2 linked regions of the Neodiprion lecontei genome follow. The protein of the gene in region 1 purifies or fractionates together with the protein of each later gene. This does not show direct contact. Links are inferred from orthologs where the notes say so. Each region holds a gene or a part of one and is shown on either strand. Other genes may lie near its edges.

Region 1 (4,843 bases):
GAACTTTTCCCACAGTATGAGCGTTGACTTCAGTCAACGGTATGAGCACTTCACCATTTTTATTAATTTAATGACTTTTTTCCTAGTATTAGGCACTAAGCTTTACCATTTACCTCAATTTGTTAACTTATTCACGTGTGAAAATGGTTAGCTTTAAATTCGAATTGCCCGCTTCGAAACGGACCCGTAAAAATTGCAAATGGCTCTGATCAATTGGGTCCACTCGGCAGCGTAGCCAGTCTACTTCGTGCAGTCCACTATCCAATTAATTTAGAAATCAATGGCTTGTGAGCATATATTGCCTATAATACGGCGTTTTGATGACAGTTCTATAATTTATATTGGTTGATTTGTGTAGCGGTTTTCGAAAGTTCGCAGTTACTTATCTAACTAGATTCATATATAGACCATAATAGCAATATACTTTAGCATTTTTATACTTTATCCTGTGAACTAAACTAACGCTCTTGTTGAATTGCAGCATGGTCTTATCTTCAAGGTTATGCAGTGTAATCAAAGTTGCCTATAATACGGCTCTATTCTCCGTATTTCACAAATGGTGTTATTAGATAATATTACACCTAGAGTTGGGTATTCTGAGTGTTAGTCAATTGTGGTATTAATATTATTAGAAGAATAAAACTCAGGTGAACAAAGTTTACTCACGACCGATCGCTTCTCAAGATAATTAATCTTACAATTACATAAAATACCTTACTTCATTTTCATCTCATGATTCTCGTGCCAAGCTTAAAGGTATACTATTTTGTTAACACATTATAATAGAGAGATGGTGAAACATTCTGATGGGATGCTACACTCATAAAATAAGTACTTCCTGGTTACACTGCAATCACGGTCGTATATACAAGTGCGAAAACTCCCTTGGCTCCCTTGGTAGGTGTGCGTCTCAATAGAAGCTCAAGTTTCAGATATTGGCCACTGAAGTTAGAGCGCTGCAATCGAGTAGTGTCAAGGACACTGCTACTAATAGGGGCGCGTTTCGAAATTAGCTGGCAGCGCTAAAAACTCCCTGGGACAGAGGCAAAGCTGCCCACGAACTCGGTAGCGTAAAATAAGTGAAAGATTGTTGACAGCACTGGAGCAAATATTGGAATGCACCTAATAGTACTCCCTTATATACCCCTCCGTACTTGTGGTAGGTTTCCGACACTCATGCATTCCGAGATTAGCTCGAGGTGCTATCATCGATCTTTTATCTCTTTTGCAGTGCCTAGTTCGTGGGTAACTTGGTCTCTGTCTTAGGGAGTTATTACCCCTGACAGCTAGTTTCGGAACGCACCCTAGTAAGAGACCCGCCCCCGCCCCTCCGCCAGAGTTTCGTGACCTGTATATACTACCGTGACTGTAATTTCGTAAAACTGTGAAATACGAATAGCCCATGGGAGCTTTCTAGCAAGGAGACACAGTGTGACACTGTGTTACACGGTCGAACAATGTGCCTTGGTGCTTGTTGGAACGCTTTGAGGTTCTTAATTCAGTCACTAGAGTCCGCTAATGCATTAGACGAAAAATCTAGAAACACTGAGCGCTCCAGGAAAAAAAAACATTTGTGAACGCATGTAGATTATCATTGCATTTAATAAATAAATACAAACAATACCATGCGTTGAAAATAAAATCTCCAACTAAAAAATTGGCAGCAATGAATCCGACACAGTGTCCAACAGGTTTTTCTCTGCTCCGCAGCTGTGTCCGACTGTGTCGTTCTGTGTCATTGTTGGAAAGCACTATGTTCGACACAATGTCGCTCTGTGTCGCTGCTGGAAAGCTCCCCATGTAGGACCCGAAAAATCTCTAGATCGCACGGTTCACTTGAGAAGTGGCCTTCATGGCGTTGAGAACTGAGTAAAAGATTTTAACAAAATTTCTTCGTGCTTGAAACCAAACTTCGAACTGTTGTTAACCTTCACGCGAACCATAACTACGGTCTCGCGACAAACTCAGTTCAACTGTTTATAAAAAAATACACAAGAAATAAAAAGATCTAACGAAATAAATATGACAACATCGCCCTTCAAAAATTAAAATAAATCTCCAATTATCAACATCGATAATATTCGAAAAAACAAATGCTCTCACTTGATAAAATAATTGGCTTGATAGTGAATATGGTTAGCTCGCTATGAAAAACTCGTAAACATTTTTGCCAAGTTAATCAGGCAGATAGAACTTGCACAATATATGTTAGATTGTCCTCGTGTTCTGGAATCATAAGAAATTCATCGAAATTTCACAAATCGGTGAACCAGGCCATCTTCAGTTTTGACCTCAGTGGTCCAACAGCTGGCATTGGCAACATGTCTGTTGCAGAAATAATTCAGCATTATCAACGAAGTATAGAAAAATGTTCAGGAAACGAAGAAAGGGTGGGTAGCCGCTCCAAAAATATTACATTTATATCATGCTAACACAAGCCACTTCCTCACCGACAAATTTTCCGCCCCTTGTAATCTGATCGACATAACCTAAAAATCATATGAAATCGCTAAATGATGTAATTTGTCAATGTCACTGCTGCAGCAGTTCCAGCAGTTTGGCAATTAACTTTTGGAGCTGCTAGCGAATTTTGTCTTCTTTTACTCAAATTGATTTGACGTATCGCGGTATTCATCATGTCATGTAATCCTTATTGTTACCATCTGGCATATATGTTGCTGCTTCTCAGATTTGCTCCAATTTATCTGTTGCAATTGTAATTCACCACTAATGTGATTAGATTGAGAGTCGAGACTTCTATTAATTTTATTGAAATTAGGATTAAAATCAGCATATAGTTGCAATAAGATTAATTTTTGTTATAAATGAAACAGGTTTTGAGATAAAACTTGACATTGCATTTGCAGGATTGAATTAACGGCATAATTTTATGCACCTTGATTATTGGTCACAAGAATATACTATTGGCATATTTATAACAAAATGGATTTTGGAAAATAAGATATTTGTGGGTCAACGATATTTCATAGACTAACTATTCTCAACAAAGTCGAGATGTAATGAAAGCAAAACAACTCTTAATTAGGATGAATTGACTTCCCGTTCTTAAAATTAGTTTCATTCTATGTGTCAAATTGTATTAACATGATTGAATAGGAACAAATATAGGTAATGAATCTGACTCAAATCATCCTACAATTTGAAAGTGATAAAACAGATATCCTTATAAGTAGTTGGTCATGAATGAATAAAATTTGACATCAGAATTAAATCAATTACGTACGATCTAATTCGGTCCATTTTATTTGATTTTCAGCTTTATCGTCTCAATCATTTATTATCTTATGGGTAGGTGAAACTGAAAATGATTCATTTTTTCAAATTTTACATGAAAATAAAGCTCGGATCATCAATATTTTCCTATAAAATGTTATGATTCCAAATTTTAATAGTTTCTTTCAAAATAATATTCTTAAATACTCCAACGAACCTTGAACTTTGTTTAATTGTGAGTGTAGCGATAATTCATTTTAAAATTATTATCTACATTCTGTAAAGAAAAGAATCGAGAGGAGATAATAAGTTTCTATTTCTCTACCAAATATTATCATTTTTTCTAAATACAAGTGGTGCTAACTTATAGCAAAGATCAAATACTCAGTACTTGTTAAGAAAAATTCCATTTTAAAAAAATATGGGTAAAAACCTTCTTAATATTTTGCAAAAACACGTGTTGGAATATTTTTTTCACTTCGCTGGAATCTCGGTTATTTCAGAAATATCTGTGAAAGAATCTGAATCACAGAAACGTCTACTTTCTGAATTTCTCACAGCAAAGAATTTATCGCTTGAAGACCTTAAAAAAATTTGAATGAGTGATTCCCGTAATCCGTATTTTCTAATTGATCTTTTGAAAAATCAAATCGTTTGGCATGACTATAAACCAATCGAGTTTCAGCAAAATGTAATGTCATTTTCTTCCTCAGTTTTTGGTATAATTAGTGTACCAAAAGAGACATATTTTCAGTATATATATTCAGAGGCATTGACATGTAGACCTGGTCTAAAGAACTAAAAAATTTAAGAAAATTATAAGAAAAATGTGTGTCCTAATCATAAATAAATATAATTAGTTTTTCTCAGGAAAATCTGCTTTATGCTTCATAGTCTCTACACACAAAGTAATAATAACTTTGTATACTTATAATTTATTAGCATGAGAAGTATTTTACTGTATTGCCACGCAGCTATAACCACTTACTACATTTACAATAATTTGAAAAACTGTAACTACAAGAGATGCTTCTGGAGTCTTTGTAAGTTTCATGGCATGATTTTCTTAACAGATGCTTTACTGCATTGGGAAGCTGTACAGATTGCCAGTTACCGTGCAGCATTTACAAGAGACAGGAGTTGGTAGGACAGTGAATGGCCTGCGAAAATATGTTGGGGATGTTGGTGATGCTGCCAAAGCTTTGGTAGCCAAATGGAAGACAATGGTCGCTGATGAGGAATCCAGCGATGGAGAAGGAGCAACAGACGACGAGGCGAACATATCCGAGCCTCCAGATGACTATGGCAACAACTCACATTCTAGAAAAAACGATAAGGATAGTAGCGACGACAGAGATGATAATAGGAAAGAATCAAGGTATATGGGCAATATAATAGTAAGACCATTTAGGTGTTGAATTTAATTACCGTGCAATGATACGTAATACTTAAATAATGTTCATAGAATGTTTCAATAAAATCATTATTATTTTTTAACTGCATCAAGTTTCAAGTAATTTCATACGCTCACTGCTACCTTCATCTTAAATTATCTGCAGTATGCATATTTTTCAAACAGGTAGGTAACTGTTTAAATATTTTTGTACTT
Region 2 (6,313 bases), on another chromosome or scaffold:
GAAATTGAACTTTAATTAGTTAATAGCCAGGTTAGTCTTCCGGATAAGTTGACGTTAACAACGCGTAACAGCTTATACTGCCGGATTATTTAACTTTCTGCCAAAAGTTGAATAATCTATTCCAATTATTGCCAGGCTTCGTTATGGTGCTATGCATTGATCATAAAACTTCCATATTTTAGTCTTATTGAATTTATCGCCCGAGGCTAACTTCTCTCTTATATATTCCGAAAGTTTTATCGAATATTTATCAATAACTAAGTATAATGCAAAAACACTTGTCTCCTTGTTGGTTTCAAACAGAATTTATAAATTTAGATTTCGTTTTTAAAGATTATGATTATTTATTTTATTTTTATTTCAAAAGGATCGTAGAAATAATCTACAGTTTAAGTTCTCTTCAAGTCATTAGAGTGACGTCCCCCGACAGTTTGAAATCAACCATTACCAGTTTTAGACTATGTTAGGATATTAAATGAAACGGGAATTCCCTTCTTTCGCCACATACATATTTTTGCATCGCGCGTATATTGCACATTTGCAAATTTGTAGTACGGTAGCTTGAACATACCTAATTCCGCAATTCAAATTTGTCGCTCGACTAAAATTGTAAAGAACTATGACATAATTCGTGCTTCTCTGGTTTTTATGACAAATAATACAGTATCTATGTCACAATGTCGAAATACATGATACATTATTAGCTATTAAATTCGTAGGAATGATGAAAGTAAATAAAAGATAAAAGAAATTGTAGGCAAAAAAATGTTGCGTGTAATAAACTGCACAGATTTTCAACCTATTCAAATCGCAGATTGAAAATCTGTATAAACATCAGCGTGATCATCGTGAATTTTGACAGCAAAAGAGATGCTAAACCGGCTAAACCTACCTATTTTTCGCCAGCGGAAGTAACTATGTAAAAAAAAAAAAAATAGAAAAAAATAACTGCAATGAACAAGATTAAGGCAATATTAATAGACTGTATAATGATTTTTAATGATACTATATTTAATTGCGTTTTGTGATTACAAGTAATGAGTAATGTATTTCTAGTTCATAATGATAATGAAAATAATCTTAATTTCAATAATAATGTCAATATAATCATGACTGTAACTCGTAATAAGAAATAAAATATGATCTGTCTCATGGGGACCCATACAAAACAGCTACGGGATATTGGATTTTGCGTTCCATTGAACGGTTCCTCGTCAACATTTTTCTCGATTCATATTTACAACATTTTTTGTCTTATCTTATATTGTCAAACTACGAATTACTCCTAGTCACTCGCGGCGTCGGCGCCATCATCACCACCTCCGCCGCTTACCGATCCACTCCCAGATCCCGAATTTGAATCTTCATCCGAATCCTTGAGAACTTTACCCTTGTGATACTTTTTGGATCGCGTACCCTCGAAGTCTGACCCTTCTTCGTCAGACGAATAAATATTCGAGGCAGCTAGAACGGTTGAAAATTAATTCAAATTCGTTACACACGTGGAGAGAGATTTTTGCCAAATATCTGAATACATAACATTGAAACTTCAACTCACATTTGGCTGCAAGTGCAGCGGCGCCCTTTTTGTACTTGTTTTTGATGGCTGCCAGTGAAATTGCACCCTCGTCATCAGATCCATCATCGTGATAAGCTTCCGCTCCGTAACTGCCGGATGCCCGACCCGCGCTTCTGCTATTTCCGCTTGGTTTTTTATTTTTACTCTGTGCTCGCATTGCCATTCGCAATTTTTCTTCTTCTTTCTGAACGGTAAAGGGAAGTAGAAGAAAATTAAATTAGGAGTGAGTACCCTCTATAAATCATGTTCGTTAATTTCTTTCAACTGTGAAAGGTATTGAAATGCAAAGAAATGATTTAGATAACATCGATTCACAAACCTTTATCATTTCGTATCTGTTTTGATCGGGATTCATTCCAACTTGCGACAATACTTTGATGCCTGTAGTCTTTTGCGAACGATCTGCCAAAGACATGGTCATTTTCCTGTGTGTAAATGACTCTGTTGAGTGAGGTCGGAATCCGAGTTTTGTTCTGAATACCGCTTGTCCTTGAAGACCGGTACCTTGTCGAATATAGAGATGATTGTGATCGCCTTGAAGCGGTTGTCTGTAGACGTCGAATATTTCTGAGCCCAGATGCAATGACATACTTCCATCGGACCATTTTATAAATCTGGCGTTACTTTCTTTCACTGCTTTTCCTTCCTCGTTGAAAACCTCTCGCCATCTTATGGTATTCTCGACTTTCAATTTGAGCCTTGCTCTTCCCTCCTCATCCAATGTTTCCTCCTCGTCAATTTCATCCTCATAAGTCTCATGGTCGAATGGTCGCGTTTCAACGGACAAAAAGTTCGGTAATTTTACAAAATGTATTTCGCGTCCTAAATCTGTTGTGATTTTTGGTATTTCTACGTCGATTCGCGTCTCTGGTGGCGGCTCTGGTTCGTCTTCTTTTTCTTTCTCCTCGTCCTTCAAATTTAAATACATATTTTTTTAGACAAATTACAATTTCCCATAAAATAATATCTGGAAAACAGTAAAGTTCTCTACTTTCAATCAATTTAATTTAAAATAGAAAATAATTTAGTTACTTACATCTTCAATTAAAACCCTGTGACTAGGTCCTTCTCCGCCACTGTCCGATCTCCCTCTACTTCTACTCCTACTCCGACTTTTACTTCGACTTTTACTCCGGCTCCTACTTCTACTCCTGCTCCTACTTTTGCTTTTGCTTTTTCTTGCTGTTGTGTCTGCTTCTCCGTCTCCTTCTTCTTCCTTATCCTTCTCATCGTCAGTACTAATATCACTTGCATCTCCAAAGAGAGCGTCAGCTGTGGGCTCAACATCGTCTGTTTTTTCTCCAACAGGTTGCTCCTCTTCAGAATCTGAATCGATAAGTCCTCTTAGTTTCTTGATTACTTTTTCAGATCCAGAACCACTGTCAGTCTGTCGTTTGCGTTTCGCTACTTCGTCATCTGCATCAGCTGCAAGTTAAAAAAAGTGGTAGAAAAGAGTTGAAAGCAGAGAACATATTCGTGCGATGTTGCAAAGATGAATGGATACGCCTACCTGCAATTTTTAGTGATTTTTCTGACTCAGCATCGCTTCCAGTAGCCTTAGGACTCTGTGATTTGCTTTTAGATTTTCTCGAACGTGGACTTCCATCAGTTTTTGGACTTTCTGGACTACGAGATCTGGATTTATTGCTTCTACGAGAACTGGCACTCGCAGACCTGCGGCTGGCTGGTGAAGCACTGCGCGACCTATTGGTCTTAGGTGATCCACTTGCAGATCTATTTGTTTTAGGTGATCCACTTACAGATCTATTTGTTTTAGGTGATCCGCTAGCAGATCTATTTGTTTTTGGAGATCCGCTAGCAGATCTAACAGTTTTAGGTGAGCCGCTACCAGATCTGTTGGTTTTAGGTGATCCACTAACAGATCTGTTTGTTTTAGGCGACCCACTGGCAGACCTGCGGCTTTTTGGCGATCCAGGTGACCCCGATCTTCTGCTTGTGTGTGAAGTCTGACTACCGGACCTCCGACTCTTAGGAGAACCAGACTTATTGCTTCTCGGGGAAGCAGGACTCGCAGATCTCGATCTGCTAGCTCTGTTAGACTGAGGGGAATTTGGAGTTTTGGATTTTTGACTTTGCGATCTTGACCTAGACCTACGGCTGGCAGGAGACTTTGGACTTTCTGATCTCACGCTTCCTTGCAGTGAATTTGACCTGGATCTCCCTGACCTCTGTGATTCAGGGCTTGGAGATCGCACCGTTTGCGGCGATCCACTTCCAGAGCGACGTGACCTTGGTGATCCTGGACTGGAATGTCTAGATCCGCTAGCTGATCTGTGTGAAGTTGGGCTTGCAATTGATTTATTGGCACTAGGGGATCGGCTTCGAGATCTATTCGATGCGTTAGACCGACTCCTGTCCGACTTTGGACTACTAGGAGACCTTATCGAATCTGGTGAGGCTGGTCCTTCGTTCTCATTCTCGGAATGATCGCTACTTCGCCGGCCGGGAGTCGGCACAGGACCGTGGGACATTGGACTCCCGCTACGGCTAGATGCGCTCGATCCTGAGGCGCTCTCCGAGTCGGAACCTTCAAGAAAAACACTCATGGTGTTTAACCGGTGTTCGAAGTGAAAAAGACTTTTTGATTGATATAGAACTTCAACTTTTAAATCGTGAGTTCGAATTAAATTCACGCTTTGTAACATACGTATTGAAAATGTGAAAGCCTGCATAGTTGTACGTTTAAAACGCTAATCTGACCGGATGTTATTGGTGAATATAACCTCAGAAACGATAGATCGTCTGGAAAAAGTAACCAAGAAAAAGGGAAATCTGATATAAGTATTTATCGGGAAGCATCAACCATGCGTAAACACTTCACTTATTCCGCTACTAACTATCATTTACTCTCAAACTCACCGGAATCACCGCTGGAGCCTCGTAGTACATCTCGTGCGGGTGACATGTTTTACCAAATCACATACGTTGTGATAAGTTGACTGTGGCGGCACGGTAAGGGACTCCGAACGACGGGAGAAAAATTGCAGTATTCTGCTATACCGACTCTATATTCCACCGGCATCCCATAAGACGAATCAGTAAGTGTTGGCTCGTTGAATTATCCTCAAACCCGCCCAGAGAAACCATTCGAAAAATTACGCTACATACAGAGATGAGTATGAAATGCAGGTCATGCATCGTATTAATCAACGTTACATGCGGATTTTTGGTGCAGTTCGAATCGCAGTTCGCGACTCGGCGAAGAGATGGCGCAATTCAAAAATGGCGTCTTGTGTGCTCCGCACGCACACAACAACGGGTTCTATCATTCTCTGTACGTAGTTCAGTACAAGTTCGTTAGTTCGCCTTCTACCAGCTGTAGTGCGCGTGTGTCGGTTAGCAGCCGGCGCTCTGGCGGATCGCAATCGAGTTTGGCGAGAAGTTTTTGAACGAGAGTCGTGCCGGAGTTGAAAGAGAGAGAGAGCGAGAGGGAACTAAACTGCCCGTGACACCTGTTGCTCGATAGACGCTTGACGCCGTCGCGCTGTGAGCATGGCGGGCTCCGCGGAAGTGAGGATATTATTGTCGAGACACAAATCCGCGCTGCTCAGGGAGCTGAATGTCACAAATTTACTCGGTGTGCTCGTCAAGCAGGGTGTGATTGCCGAATCGGATCGCGAGGCGATCGCTCGTCGCGGGGGTGAGCACTTGGACATCGATTTGCTGATAGGCCTTATCAGCGCCAAGGGTTTCGATGCCTTTCGGGAATTCTGCTTCGCCCTCGAAGCCGAATGCCCTCACGTCTTGACGGATCTGCTTGTCGATCAACACAGCATCACCGGTGAGTCCATTTACGAGTTTGCTCATTCGTGAAGAGGGGATTCTTCGTATTCTTTCGTTGTTCTTCGAAATTTTCGAACAAACCAAAGTGGTGAATATCATGAATTTCACCCCAGGTTTATATCTGCCGATAATTAATTGCAACGTTTGAGGGAGTTTGTTTCGAGAGCGTCTTAATTACCGAGATCAAATGGCGATTGGAGCAACAGCTCTCAGGGTTGTTTCATCACCGCGAAGTGGTGATGAATATTATGAATAATCGCGGTAAATACCGGCCCCGTTTACCTGGACGTGAGTACCTACTTAGGCGGATACCGATCGAGATTAAAGATTGAGATGCATAATTATTTGTTCAACCGTGATGTAAGAGAACTTCGTCCGCGAGCCTTTAATTAATGCCTGGGTAGGAAATTTGCACGGTATAAATAATAACAGTGGTAAACGTCGTACGGTCTACTATGAATTTTCGTAAGGCATAAGTACTAGTTCCTACTTCCTAGACAAGTTTATAATATGCGGAGGCGCCGATTGATACAAGCCATGTGTTTTCCCTCACTCAAATCACTTTCACTCGAGGACAAGACTCCGCGTTGTCTTCGATTCCAAATATTTCTACCCACTCGACGAAATTTATTTCACCTACCGTAACTCGGTTCGTTTACAGTAATTTAGTTACGTGGTTTTGTTAGGGTTTTTTTTTTTTAAAGACTACACTCTTGTATCCGAGGAGGTAGAAATGCCGATCGCATGGAAAAGGAATCTAAAAGGAACGCGAGATTGAAGTTCGTACCGTGTTGTCGTAACGAAACATCGTGGAAAAATCACTGTTTTCTTATTTTTGCAATGCCTTTTAAGGAACTAAGATTTCAAAATACGAGTATGTTTTGTTTTATTACAGTTTACCGAATCTCAAGCAATTCCAAAATCGTGTAA

Evidence for each region. Proteins that work in one complex are often made in the same cells at the same time.
Region 2: the proteins of transcription elongation factor B polypeptide 3 (region 1) and another transcription unit protein purify together in Homo sapiens (affinity purification with mass spectrometry; 3 studies listed by BioGRID and IntAct, with this or other methods). This does not show direct contact. The link is inferred for Neodiprion lecontei from reciprocal best matches to the Homo sapiens genes ELOA and LEO1.

Annotation. Positions count from the first base shown.
Region 1 is NC_060263.1:9,216,606-9,221,448, reverse strand, and holds the start of transcription elongation factor B polypeptide 3, read left to right. Parts: upstream 1-1,830; 5' UTR 1,831-2,321; coding exon 2,322-2,390; intron 2,391-4,307; coding exon 4,308-4,612; intron 4,613-4,843. UniProt on the Homo sapiens protein: SIII, also known as elongin, is a general transcription elongation factor that increases the RNA polymerase II transcription elongation past template-encoded arresting sites.
Region 2 is NC_060265.1:27,024,355-27,030,667, reverse strand, and holds another transcription unit protein, read right to left. Parts: upstream 4,713-6,313; 5' UTR 4,506-4,712; coding exon 4,460-4,505; intron 4,343-4,459; exon of another isoform or gene 4,273-4,342; coding exon of another isoform or gene 4,248-4,272; intron 4,128-4,247; coding exon 3,090-4,127; intron 3,005-3,089; coding exon 2,616-3,004; intron 2,490-2,615; coding exon 1,899-2,489; intron 1,764-1,898; coding exon 1,559-1,763; intron 1,465-1,558; coding exon 1,286-1,464; 3' UTR 527-1,285; downstream 1-526. Other genes in the region: tight junction protein ZO-1, read left to right, coding at 5,093-5,381. UniProt on the Homo sapiens protein: Component of the PAF1 complex (PAF1C) which has multiple functions during transcription by RNA polymerase II and is implicated in regulation of development and maintenance of embryonic stem cell pluripotency.